2 linked regions of the Anolis sagrei genome follow. The protein of the gene in region 1 interacts with the protein of each later gene in a biochemical or structural test. Links are inferred from orthologs where the notes say so. Each region holds a gene or a part of one and is shown on either strand. Other genes may lie near its edges.

Region 1 (7,167 bases):
CTGTATATAGTGTGATAGGGTCCTCCCTCTCTACACATAACAGTAGTGCACATTAAGGACTGTGTCAAGCAAAAATACTCAGAGATGGGGATTGGCAGTGGCCACTTACTTCTTACTGACTTACTGTCTCTCGTCTTAGCATTGTCGGAAGGAGGACGTGGCCTTCCTGCATTACTCAGAGAAAGGTAGAGCAAATGAACTGGAAATCCCATTCATTCTCTTTCTCTGCTTAATGGGGTTGGGATGTTGTGAGAGACTAAGCCAGCAAAATGGGAAGGGCTGTAGTTAATATTGTGGTTGAGGTCACACATTCTGTCTTAACCATGTGCACATCAGTTTGGAAAAGCCCTTGGCATGAAACCTTGGAGAGCCACCATACCTGGATAGAAATACTATTGCTGAGTTGACATAAGGCAGTTCCCAGAATCTGTATAGGACAGATACTTTGACCTGCTTGCCTTGGGTTTACTCACAACTTAAATGACTTACAGATATTAAATTAATATCAAACAACCCTAAGCTACAAGTTTGGGTAACGCTACAAGGTAAAGGTAAAGGCTTCCCCTGACATTAAGTCTAGTCATATCCGACTCTGGGGGGTGATGCTCATCTCCATTTCTAAGCCAAAGAGCTGGTGTTGTCTGTAGACACCTCCAAGGTCATGTGGCCAGCATGACTATATGGTATCTATTGATCTACTCACAATTGCATGTTTTCGACCTCCAAGGTTGGCAGAAGCTGGACCTCAAAGCGGGAACTCACCTCACTCCCCCGATCCGAACTACCAACCTTTCAGTCAGCAAGTTCAGCAGCTCAGTGGTTTAACCTGTTGCGCCACAAGGGGCCCTTTGCTACAATGGGACCCCTTAAAATTGGAATACTTTAGGGCAGCAGTTCCCAAACTATGTTCCATGGAGTCTTAGGGTTCCAACAAAGCATTATTATTATTATTATTATTATTATTTACATTTCTACCCAGAGCAGCTTACACTGGCAACAGTTTGATACTGCAACAATATGACAACTATAACAGCAATATAAACAATAAATAAAACAATATAATTTAAAACAGTTAAAACATTATTATCATAATCATATAGCCATTTATATCATTATCACAACCATGTAGTCCAGTTCGACATCCAAGGTGCTGTCACGCCTGCTGGCCAAAAGCCTGGTTCCAAAACCATGATTTTAATTTCTTCCTAAAGGAAAGGAGGGATGAAGCCGACCTGATCTCACTGGGGAACGAATTCCACAGGCAGGGGGTCATCACCGAGAAGGCCCTGTCCCTCGTCCCTACCAAATGCGTTTGCAAAGCTGGTAAGACCGAGAGCAGGGCCTCCCCTGACGATCTTAAACTACAAGGCGGAACGTAGAGAGAGATACGTTTGGATAAGTAAGCTGGGCCGGAGCCATATCCAAAAATATTTCAAATCTTTAAAAAATATATTTAAAAATCTTTGCCAGAATACGAAGATCTTATTTCAATTCAATATACCTCTGCTGTAAAAGTGAAATTTGGATCTCTTAGTTTTCAAACCTACAATATACAAAACAACCAGATAACAGGAGTAGATGAAACAAAGAAGCACTTTGTGGGTTCACAGTGCTTAGGCACAGAGTTATGGTTCTGCAGGAAAATCAGGGTTCTGTGGGGGAAAACATTTTCTGAATGGTTCCATGACCAAAAAAAAGTTTGGGAATTGCTGCTGTGGGACATCTTGATTTCAGCTCTGTGATCCATCCTATCCTTGCCATTGGAGGGGCAGTGAAATGGCAAAGGCAGTTCTTTGTGCCAAGGGCAACTTCTCTTTTATGCAGTGACATTTCTTCTGGGTGACATGGCAACAGGGATTGGGCCAAGCAGCAAACTCAGTTCCCTCCAGCTGAGAAGGAAATAAAATGGGAAGTCTTTCAGAGCAAGGAGAGCAAGAAACTACCACCTAATCTTGCAAGCCATCTCTCACTCACCTCTGCCCTGAGGAGACTAAAGTGACAACTTCCTCCTTTCTCTTGTATTCTCTCTGTCTTGGGTCACAGTACAGAGAATTTGGGTAGATCTTGGAAGATTAAGTTAGGAGACAATTCTGAGAAAACCCTATTCAGCAAGGGCCAAAGGCCCAGAACAGGCATGTAGCCGGCCCGGGGGGGGGGGGGGCTTGAGGATTACCTGGGAAGGAATCCCACTGGAGCACTGCAGCACATCCAAATACCTGGGAGTCACCCTGGACCGTGCTCTGACCTACAAGAAGCACTGCCTGAATATCAACCAAAAGTGGGCGCTAGAAACAATATCATACGAAAGCTGACTGGCACAACCTGGGGATCACAACCAGACACAGTGAAGACATCTGCTTTTGTGCTATGCTACTCTGCTGCTGAGTACGCATGCCCAGTGTGGAACACTTCTCACCACACTAAAACAGTAGATGTGACTCTTAATGAGACATGCCGCATTATCACGGAGTGTCTGCGCCCTACACCACTGGAGAAATTACACTGCTTAGCTGGTATTGCACCACCTGATATCCGCCGGGAAGTAGCAGCCAATAGTGAAAGGACCAAGGCAGTGACATCTCCAGCTCATCCCTTCTTTGGGTATAGCCAGGACGTCAATGACTTAAATCAAGAAATATTCTAAGATCTACAGAGACATTCGCTGGAACACCTCAGCAAGTGAAAGTCCAAAAGTCACAGGCTCAAACCCAGAACCTTAACCACTGGCTGATACCAAATTAGAGACTCCCCCCTGGACACACAGAAGACTGGGCAACTTGGAAGGTGCTGAACAGACTGCGCTCTGGCAATCTTAAGAAATGGGGCTACAAAGTGGAATCCATGACATGCGAGTGTGGACAAGAGCAAACCACAGACCACCTGCTGCAATGCACCCTGAGCCCTGCCATATGCACAATGGAGGACCTCCTTGCGGCAACACCAGAGGCCACCTTACTTGGATCTGTGTGCATCATTCGGAAATACATCATTTGCTGTGACATACTGTATTTTTGTGTCAGTAAAATAATAGTAGTAATAATAATAATAACAATAATAATAATAATACCCACCAAACTCTTCCAGTGTGTTCTGTTGGTCATGGAAGTCATGGAAGTCCTGTATGCCATGTTTGGTTCAATTCCACCATTGGTGGAGTTCAGAATGCTCTTTGATTGCAGGTGAACTATAAATCCCAGCAACTACAACTCCCAAATGTCAAGGTCTATTTCCCTTAAACTCCATCAAGGTCAATGCCCACCAAACCCTTCCAGTGTGTTCTGTTGGTCATGGAAGTCCTGTATGCCATGTTTGGTTCAACTATAAATTCCAGTAACTACAAATCCCAAATGTCAAGGTCTATTTCCCCCGAACTCCATCTGTGTTCATATTTGGGCATATCGAGAATTCGTGCCAAGTTTGGTCCAGATCCATCATTGTTTGAGTCCACAGTGCTCTCTGGATGTAGGTGAACTACAACTCCCAAACTCAAGGTCAATGTCCACCAAACCCTTCCAGTTTTTTCTGTTGGTCATGGGAGCCCTGTGTGCTAAGTTTGGCCCAATTCCATCATTGGTGGAGTTCAGAATGCTCTTTGATTGCAGGTAAACTATAAATCCCAGCAACTACAACTCTCAAATGACAAAATCATTTTTTTTGAGTGGAGGACATACATTGGGTTGTTAGGTGTCTTGTGTCCAAATTTGGTGTCAATTCCCCCAGTGGTTTTTGAGTTTATATAGATTATATAGTATTGTATTATTATTATTATTATTATTATTATTATTATTAGGCTCCACAAGGGGATGGGATGGCTACCTAGGTGCACATGAAAGCCCTTCTCCCACTGCCTAGCCCACTCATCCCTATGTGTTCCTCTCAGCCAATCAGGAGCAGCCTAAGGATTCCAAACAGTCAGACACACACGCCCCCGCCCTCCGGGGCGAAGACAACAGCAGCGCTGCCGACGTCACACACTGCCCGGAACTCAGCTGGCTTTCCAGAAGAGCAGCGGGAGGAGGAAGCCGAGCCCGGAACAGCCCGGTGAAGAGTGAAAGCGGAGGCGCGCGCTGATTGGCCGCCGGAGAGCGCCCCCTGCCGAAGAACCCTCAGAGCGCGGCGGCGATTGGCCGGCTTCGATCAGTGTCGCCGCCGAGGGGGCGGGACTCCCCGGGAGCCAGCAGCTGGGGCAGGGCTTGGAGAGTGAGCCAGGCGGCGCTGGGGAAGGAGAGCCAGCGGAAGGGAAGTTCGGTCCCGGCGGAGGGGATTGGAAAGGTAGGCTGGAGAGGAGGCAAAGCATGTGCAGAGTGCAAACCTCTGAGATTGCTGCTCCTCTGCAACGAGGGGCATGGCTTCCAGGAAAGCTTGGAGGGACTTTCCCGTCAGTTTGAGGGCTGGGAACGGGAACACAGGAAGGAAACACGTTGCGGGAGGGAGGAGGTGGGTTTGCTGAGGGAGGGTGGGATTTGGAGTTTCCTAAGTACTACCAAACTTAACTATGGCATGCCTGATCTGCACTGTAGAAGGAATGCAGTTTGACATCACTTGATATTATTATTATTATTATGCTATAGAACAGGCATGTGCAAACTTGGGCCCTCCAGGTGTTTTGGACTCCAACTCCCAGAATTCCTAACAGCCGGGAGTTGGAGTCCAAAACACCTGGAGAGCCCAAGTTTGCCCATGCCTGGTAAAACAATACAGTATGCAGTTGTTGTTGTTGTTATTATTATTATTACTATTATTATCTGATACACAACAAGATTAGTACACAGCAAACAAGATCCCATTATTATTATTACTATTATTAGAATGCTATAGAACAGGCATGGGCAAACTTGGGCTCTCCGGGTGTTTTGGACTCCCAACTCCCAGAATTCCTAACAGCCTACCGGAGTCCAAAACACCTGGAGGGCCCAAGTTTGCCCATGCCTGGTAAAACAATACAATATACAGTTATCATTATTATTATTATCTGATACACAATAATATTAGTACACAGAAAACAAGATCACTATGTTGGCTTGTCTATTTGATCACATATCAGACATTATTGTTGTTGTTATTATGCTTATTATGCCTTCTATAGAATCACGAGAGCTGTTGTTGTCGTCATTATTATTATTATTATTATTATTATTGGTTGCTGGGAGTTTTCCAAACTGTCTGGCCATGTTCCAGAAGCATTCTCTCCTGATGTTTCACCTGCATCTATGGCAAGCATTCTCAGAGGTTGTGAGGCTTGTTCGAAACTAAGAAAGTGGGTTTTATATCCTCAGGATGCCTGCCATAGATGCAGGCGAAACGTCAGGAGAGAGTGCTTCTGGAATGTGGCCAGACAGTCTGGAAAACTCCCAACAACCCAGTGATTCCAGGCCATGAAATACTACTACTACTAATAATAATAAAACTTTATTTATACCCCGCCACCATATCCCCAAGGAGACTCGGGGTGGCTTACATGAGGCCAAGCCCAAGGGTACAGCAAATATACAACATAAATACATACAGTAAAATATAATGAGAATAAAATACAAAACAATATAACACATTATATTATATATTATAGTTATTATATATTATGGTTATTTATTTAAAGCCTGAAAAGAGACCCAAAGCGCTAACACAGGCATGAGCAAACTTCGGCCCTCCAGATGTTTTGGACTTCAACTCCCACAATTCCTAACAGCCTACCGGCTGTTAGGAATTGTGGGAATTGAAGTCCAAAACATCTGGAGGGCCAAAGTTTGCCCATGCCTGGTAAAACAACACAATATACAGTTATTATTATTATTATTATTTTGTACTCAACACGATTAGTACACAGCAATGCTGGGTTTTGCATTGGATCACACATCAGATATTATTATTATTATTATTATTATTTATACCTTGCTGATTCTCTCCCCAAGGTGACTCAAAGCGGCTAAAAACACAGGTAAAGGTAAAGGTTTTCCCCTGATATTAAGTCCAGTTGTGTCCAACTCTGGAGGGTGGTGCCCATCTCCATTTCTAAGCCGAAGAGTCAGCGTTGTCCATAGACACCTTCAAGGTCATGTGGCCTGCATGACTGCATGGAGCACCGTCATCTTCCTGCCGAAGTGGTACCTACTGATCTGCTCACATTTGCATGTTTTCAAACTGCTAGGTTGACAGAAGCTGGGGCTAACATTGGTAGCTCATGCTGCTCCCCAGATTTGAACTTGTGACCTTTTGGTCAGCAAGTTCAGCAGCTCAGTGGTTTAACCCACTAAACACTAAAATACGATTAAACATCACAACTACTTAGATCAACAGTTAAAACCTATTAACATGCCTAAAAATGCTATACAGTTTAACCAGCTGTCTCCGCCAAAGAGTGATGGCATCCTACAACTCCCATGATTCCATAGTATTGAGTCATGGCGGGGAAAGTGATGTTAAACTGCATTCGTTCTACAATGTTGACATACAGTTGGCCATTGAACCCACATCTGAACCTGAAATGTTTTTTTTGTTTCATATGTACTTCATATATACTTTAAGGGGCTGCAGTGGCACAGCGGGTTAAACCGCTAAGCTGCAGAACTTGCTGATCAGAAGGTTGGCGGTTTGAATCCGCATCCAGGGTGAGCTTTCGTTGTTAGCTGTAGCTCCTGCCAACCTAGCAGTTTGAAAACATGGAATGCCAGGGCATAGTCAATGAGGGCAGTGACATTATAGTTTCCGTTTCTTTTTTCTTCTGCACTTCTGGGGGCCACGGTGGTGCAACACATTAAACCGTTGAGCTGCTGAACTTCCTGACTGGAAGGTCGGCAGTTCAAATCTGCAGACAGGATGAGCTCCTGTTGTTAGCCCCAGTTTCTGCCAACCTAGCAATTTGAAAACATGCAAATGTGAGTAGATCAATAGGTACCACCTCAATATGAAGGGAATGGTGCTCCATGCAGTCAAGCTGGCCACATAACCAATGAGGCGTCTGTGGACAATGCTGGCTCTTCGGCTTAGTAATGGAGATGAGCACCATCCCCCCAGAGTCAGGCACGACTAGACTTAATGTCAAGGGGAAATCTTAACCTTTATACTTTACACACCCACTCTGAAAGTAAATGTATACAGTATTTTCAATATTTTTCCCATGAAATAAAGTTTATGTGCATTGAACCGTCAGAATGCAAAGGTATCACTCTC
Region 2 (7,297 bases), on another chromosome or scaffold:
TGGACTGTAATGGTGATACTGCCTAAAGAATAGAAAAATAATATAAAGTGCAGGGACATTCTGTGGCCCAGGCTGCCAACATCTTATCATCTCCTTTGGAAGACAGGAGAAGTGTGTGTTTTGTACCAAAGATTAGCAGCTTATAGAGTCAAATGATTTTTTTTAAAAATGAACAAGCCACAGGAAAATGTTTTGTGAATTCCCTCAGCACCTTGTCTTTGATGATTTCCAGGAATTTCAGTAGTAAGTGGAGTTTAATTTTTGTTCTTATGTGTCTATTACTTGTTCTGTTCAGGCATTGAATGTTTGCCTTTTTTTGTGATTGGAATCCGTCCTGAGTCCCTTCGGGGAAATAGGGCGAAATATAAATGAAGATTTATTTGTCTGTCTCTCTGTTTGTTTGTTTGTTTGTTTTAAGAATCAGCATACTATGGTGGTCTTAGAGTTGGACTATGACTCTTCAACTGTTACAGTTCATTACAATGGAATCTAGGAGTTGCGGTTTGGGGAAGCACCAGCACTCTTTGCTAGGGAAAGCTAAAGACTTTGTGAAATGACAGCCCCCATAATCCCATAGCATTGAGCCAGGACACTTAAAATTATGCTAAACAGCTTTAATTGTACAGTGCAAATGTACACAGGGACAATACATTGGTGCTTCTTTTGTCAATTTCATGGCTCATTGAGTCTGAGGGTGTGATTCAAAACAACAGGCTTTAGCACAGCTGGTTAATCACCAGCTGCAATAGATCTTATCCATTGAAAGGTTGGCAGTTTGAAGCCCAGGTCGGGGTGAGCACCCAACCTTCAGCCCAGCTTACTGTCCACCTAAACAGTTGAAAAACAGCTGTGTGCTGTGAGTAGAGAAATTAGGCACTGCTTTAAGCGGAGAGGTATTTTATGGCACCATAAAGGAAATACCAGAAAATCCGGTCAGTGGTTCCCTTGAGCTATAGTAAGAACACTTTTCCCCTGGGTGGATCTCTGGGCCCTTCCACACAGCCCTATAACCCAGAATATCAAGGCAAAAAATCCCACAATATCTACTTTGAACTGGGTTATCTGAATCCACACTCAGATGATGTGGGATTTTCTGCCTTGATATTCTGGGATCTAGGACTATGTTAAAAGGCCTTCAGATAACCCAGGACCCTTCCACACAGCCCTAAATCCCAAAATATCAAGGCAGAAAAGCCCACAATATCTGCTTTGAACTGGGTTATCTGTTCTTACCATACATCAAGGGAACCACTGACCACATAGGGAAGCTGATGAAGAAACACAACCTATACTCTATATTCTGGGATATAGGGCTGTGTGGAAGTGCCCTAAGAAAATCCAACAAATGCTAAGTTCTGCAAAGGACAGGAGTCTAATGTTTATACCATGCAGCTGTGGACAAGTCCACATAGGGACTACATTTATTTATTTATTTATTTACAGTATTTATATTCCGCCCTTCTCACCCCGCAGGGGACTCAGGGCGGATTACAATGTACATATACATGGCAAACATTCAATGCCATAGACACACAACATATATAGACAGACACAGAGGCAATTTAACATTCCAATTTTTCATGAGGGTGTTCTGGCCACCAGGGGAGCTGTTGCTTCACCATCCATTTGTGACACTGATAAAGTACTTCCTCATTCTTTACAGGCTTGCTGGAGATTTTTATGGCATTGTAAATTAGTTAAATTAGCCTCCCCATGTAGGTGGTACCTAAATTTCCTACTTGACAGATGCAATTGTCTTTCGGGCTGCAAAGATCGGCAGCAAGCTACACAAATTGGTCAGACACTCACTCCGACCTGGGCTGGCTTTGGACTCATGACCCTTTGGTCAGTAGTGATCTTAATGCAGTGACTCCCAGCCAGCTGTGCCACATTGAACTGGAATATATGACTGTGTGGACTCAGATAACCCAGTTTAAAGCCAATACTGTGGGATTTTCTGCCTTGATATTCTAGGATATAGGGCTGTGTGGAAGGACCTGTTGTCTTTACTCTCGTGGCTTGTTTAACATTCTTGATTATTACTACCTGTCCCCTGCCACGCATTGCTGTAGCCCAGTCTGTTGATCTCGAAAATAAAGTAATGAGAAAGTGTTGGTTTCTAATATATGTGATTTCTTTATGCTTGTGGATAAACAGTATTTCTTGCTGTTTCTTTGTCAGTGTTGATGTGGAGAATGTCTGGTTTGCCCACCCTGGAACATGCAAGATATCATTGTCCTTCTTTAGGGGTCTCTTTCAAATCTATGATACTATATCTGTGTGTCAATCATATCTATCTATCTATATCTATGGCTGGATGGCTCTTTGTCAGGAGGACTTTGATTACGTTTTCTTGCCCTGATGAAAGGAGTTGGATTGGATGGCCTTAAGTATTTTCTGTTGGTCATGGGGGTTCTGTGTGGGAAGTTTGTCCCGATTCTGTCATTCGTGAGGTTCAGAATGCTCTTTGATTTTAGGTGAACTGAGAATCCCAGTGACTACAACTCCCAAATGTCAAGGTCTATTTTCCCTAAATTCCATCTGTGTTCATATTTGGGCGTATTGAGTGCTTGTGTCAAGTTTAGTCCATCCATCATTGTTTGTGTCCACAGTGCTCTCTGGATATAGGTGAACTACAACTTCCAAACTCAAGGTCAATGCCCACCAAACCCTTCTAATATTTTCTGTTGGCCATGGGAGTTCTATGTACCAAGTTTGGTTCAATTCCATTGTTGATGGAGTTCAGAATGCTCTTTGATTGTAGGTGAACTATAAATCCCAGCAACTACAACTCCCAAATGACAAAATCATAATTTTTTGAGTGATGGTCACTCCTTGTGTTGTGAGACCTTTTGCTGCCAAATTTTGTTCATTAGTTCTTTTGTTTTTAAGGTACTCACTGTGCTATCGCACACTGGGCCTGTGCATAAGACTGTAGACAGGACATAAATTCTGTGTGCCCAACGGGACGCCGGGTCTGCCTCAGATTAAAGGCCTCCCCAAAACAAAGTCTTTAGATTGCTTAAAGGTTCAACAAAGTTCTTTATTGATGAAAACAAACAGGTACTTTAAAGCTTTCTTAACAGTCTATTGGCTCTCTCTCAATCTTGTCCACAGGGAACAGGCACTATCTTCTTAACTGTAATTAACTAATGGGGAAATCCTTAACTTCTAATCTGGGCAGTCTGTACTTGCCTCTGTTGGCATAGAGCCTCTACACCCGGTACCAACTGCTTCTGGCTTCCGCGAGATACCCTTACCAGACAGAGCTTTGTAGACTTCCAGGGGAAAAGAAGGAGTCCAGGTTGCTGTGATGGCTGGCTGAAGTCCCTCAGCAGAGGAGCTGTAAGGCTGTATAACTCCAGTCAGGCTGTAGGCTATATATCTCCCCGGCTAAGCCGTAGAAGATGAAGCTTTCTACAGGAGCTCTTCGTTTTATGTCCTGTGCGAAAGGCTTCTTTGTGAGAACTGACTCAAAAAGGCTACTATTCCCTCCAAAACTCAAAAAGGAGTGGGACCAGGGAACCTAACTATAACTGACAGGTGGCTTGCCTTATGATTGCAAACTATAACAGGAAGCCACCCTGCTGCAAAAGCCCAAGCCTGGGATTGCAAACAAACATTTAATGCAAAGCAAACAGAATTGAAGCTCCTGGTACAGCTGTACCAGCACAGATTGTCTGCCTTGATATTCTGGAATATAGGGCTGTGTGGACAGACCCTTAGTTCAAAGCAGATATTCTGGGATATAGGGCTGTGTGGAAGGACCCTTTGTCTTTACTCTCGTGGCTTGTTTAACGTTCTTGTTTAGTATCTGTACTCTTTGCTGAGTTTTTACAATAATGTCATATGATTATGAAGGAAGGCAATTTTGTATACAGCACTTTCTTCATTTTCAGGTCTAAGGAAAGGGCTAGACAATGTTGCTATTCCGGGGCAACACATTGTCAGTATGATCCGGTAGGCTGTTAGGAATTGTGGGAGTTGAAGTCCAAAACACCTGGAGGGCTCAAGCTTGCCCATGCCTGCTGTAGGATCATACTGACCGGTAGGCTGTTAGGAATTGTGGAAGTTGAAGTCCAAAACACCTCGAGGGCTGAAGCTTGCTCATGCCTCTTGTAGAGTATTGTGGGCTGAGAGTGGGCAGTCTGCACATGCCCAGAGGCGCTCTTGACGCCTTGGCTTTGCGGCTGCGTGGCGTCAGTGGCTCTTGGCCCTCCCTGTTCCCTTCCTCCCAAAGAAGCCCAGCCTTCTCTTAAACCCTCCTCTTGCTGCTTCTCTCTCCGGGAGGCCGGGCTTCTCTCCTCCCCTTCCTCCTCCTCCGAGCCGCGTGCGTCGTTTCCCGTGGGCTGGGAAAAGCCAGAGAAGGAAGGAAGGAAGGAAAGGAAGGGAAGGAAGAAGGGAAGCGGAGCCGAGGAGGAGAAGAAGAAGGAGGAGGAGGAGGAAGAGGAGGCGCCTCTCCATGCAGAGCAGGCAGGCAGAGCCGAGGCTGGAAGAAGAGGAGGAGGAGGAAGAAGAAGAGGAGGAGGAGGAGAAGGAAAAACCAGGGTCCGAACGAGAAGAGGCAGGAGCAGAGAAGAAGAAGAAGGGGGCCGGCCAGGCCTGGCCCCCCAACAGCATGGAGATCGAGAAGGAGTTCCACCGGATGGACGAGGCAGACAGCTGGGCCGCCATCTACCAGGTAAAAGGGGACTGGACCCCATTGTCTCACCCTTTCCCCGCCTTCTCAAGCTGGACAAAGCTCGGCCCTTCCCTTCCTTTCCCTCTCGCCTTCTTGCCCTGGCTTTCCTGGCCTTGGAAATGGGTCTCCTCCCCATTTCTCACCCCCAGGACCCACTTTCCCCATCCACTCCAGTGTGTGCAAGTGCAAACCCAGTAGATGCAAGCCCCCACTCATCCTGCCCTTGGTTTATGGCAGCTATGGGCAAACTTGGGCCCTCCAGGTGTTTTGGACTTCAACTCCCACAATTCTTAACAGCCGGTAGGCTGTTAGGAATTGTGGGAGTTGAAGTCCAAAACACCTGGAGGGCCCAAGTTTGCCCATACCTGGTTTATGGGGTGCTTGCATTGACATAGCTGCTGATAAGGGATTGTGTGAAAGTGTGTATCTTTGCACTAGCCATCCCCTGTGACCCAGACTGTGTATATATGTTTTGTGTGTGTATTTGTGTATCTCTCCCTAAGAACCATCTAGGCCAGTGTTTCTCAACCTGGGGGTTGGGACCCCCATGGGGGTCGTGAGGGGGTGTCAGAGGGGTCACCAAAGACCATCAGAAAACATAGTATTTTCTGTTGGTCATGGGGGTTCAGTGTGGAAAGTTTGGTCCAATTCTATCGTTGGTGGGGTTCAGAATGCTATTTCATTGTGGGTGAACTATAAATCCCAACAATTACAACTCCCAAACGACAAGGTCTATTTTCTCCAAACTCTACCAGTGTTCACATTTGGGCATATTGAGTATTTGTGCCAAGTTTGATCCAGATCCATCATTGCTTGAGTCCACAGTGTTCTCTACAAGTAGGTGAACTACAACTCCAAAAAACTCAAAGTCAATGTCCACCAGACCTTCCCAGTATTTTCTCTTGGTCTTGGGAATTCTGTGTGCCAAGTTTGATTCAATTCCATCATTGGTGGAGTTCAGAAGGCTCTTTGATTTTAGGTGAACTATAAATCCCAGCAACTCCAGCATTACCAAATGACAAAATCAATCACCCCCAACCTCACCAGTACTCAAATTTGGGCATATTGGGTATTTGTGCCAAATTTGTTCCAGTGACTGAAAATACATCCTGCATATCAGATATTTAGATTATGAATCACAACAGTAGCAAAATTACAGTTGTGAAGTAGCAACAAAAATAACATTATGGTTGGGGGTCACCACAACATGAGGACCTGTACTAAGGGGTCGCGGCATTAGGAAGGTTGAGAACCACTGATCTAGGCACTTTAAGATTGTCTGGAGAGGCTCTCAGTCCCGCCCCCTTTGCAGATACGATTGGCGGGAACGAGAGACAGGGCCTTCTCAGCGGTGGCCCCTCGGCTATGGAACGCCCTCCCTAGGGATATAACACTTCGAAAGAGAGTCGTGTGATGGGACTCTTCATTTTATCTTCCCACTAGCCGCCCCTTGCCACACGTCGCTGTGGCCCAGTCTGTGTATGTGTGTTTTGTGTGTGTGTTTATGTATCTCCCCCTATGAAGCACTTAAGATCATCTGGAGAGGCCCTGCTCTCAGTCCCGCCCCCTTCGCAGATGCGATTGGCAGGAACGAGAGACAGGGCCTTCTCAGCGGTGGCCCCTCGGCTACATTGCTGTGGCCCTGTCTGTGTATATGTGTTTTGTGTGTATGTTTATACATATCTCCCTATGAACCATCTAGGTGCTTAAGATCGTCTGGAGAGGCCCTGCTCTCGGTCCCGTCCCCTTCGCAGATGCAATTGGCAGGGAGAGACAGGGCCTTCTCAGCGGTGGCCCCTCGACTATGGAATGGCCTCCCTAGGGATAGTAGATCGCCCCCCTCCCTCCTAACATTTCAAAAGAGCTGCTGTTTGAGCAGGCATTTGCAGACACAGTGTAACAGACTAATTGAGATCCACCGAACGATTGGACGATGCAACAGAAAAATGATTTTAGTGATGAGACGCTGAGGACTTTATGGCTTTTATTGCTTTTATACGGTTTATATTATATGTAATGTTTTTAACTGTATTTAATGTTGTTTGGAGGCATTGACTGTCGAATGTAAACCACCTCAAGTTGCCTTTGGGCTGAGAGAGGCGGTATATAAATATGATAAATAAATAAATATATATATGTGCATATATGTGTGTTTGTGTTTATATATGTAACTAGCTGTCCCCTGCCACGGGTTGCTGTGGCCAGCCTGTGTATACATGTTTTGTGTGTATATGTGTGTATATATTTGTGTATATGTGTATATATACGAGTGTGTTTGCGTATATATGTGGTTTTGCACATGTATTGTAATATATTTTTTATTTTTGGCTTTTTAAGTCTCTTCCGCTGTGTTTTTCAGTGTTTTATGAGTGATGGTCACTTGTTGGCCTGATACGTGTATTGTGTCCAAATTTGGTGTCGATTCGCCCAGTGGCTTTTGAGTTATGTTAAATTAGTCCCACAAACAAACATTAGTTTTTTATTTATATAGACTAGCCGTCCCCTACCACACGCTGCTGTGGCCCAGTCTGTGTATATGTGTTTTTTGTGTGTATATATCTGTGTATATGTGTATATATGCGTGTTTGCATTTATATATGTCGATTTGCACATGCG

Evidence for each region.
Region 2: of the proteins of STAT3 (region 1) and PTPN1, one has a biochemical effect on the other in vitro, tested with the Homo sapiens proteins (2 studies listed by BioGRID and IntAct). The link is inferred for Anolis sagrei from reciprocal best matches to the Homo sapiens genes STAT3 and PTPN1.

What each region holds. Positions count from the first base shown.
Region 1 is NC_090026.1:36,809,244-36,816,410, reverse strand, and holds the start of STAT3 (signal transducer and activator of transcription 3), read left to right. Parts: upstream 1-4,159; 5' UTR 4,160-4,272; intron 4,273-7,167. UniProt on the Homo sapiens protein: Signal transducer and transcription activator that mediates cellular responses to interleukins, KITLG/SCF, LEP and other growth factors. Once activated, recruits coactivators, such as NCOA1 or MED1, to the promoter region of the target gene.
Region 2 is NC_090024.1:222,417,893-222,425,189, forward strand, and holds the start of PTPN1 (tyrosine-protein phosphatase non-receptor type 1), read left to right. Parts: upstream 1-4,277; 5' UTR 4,278-4,462; coding exon 4,463-4,681; intron 4,682-7,297. UniProt on the Homo sapiens protein: Tyrosine-protein phosphatase which acts as a regulator of endoplasmic reticulum unfolded protein response. Mediates dephosphorylation of EIF2AK3/PERK; inactivating the protein kinase activity of EIF2AK3/PERK.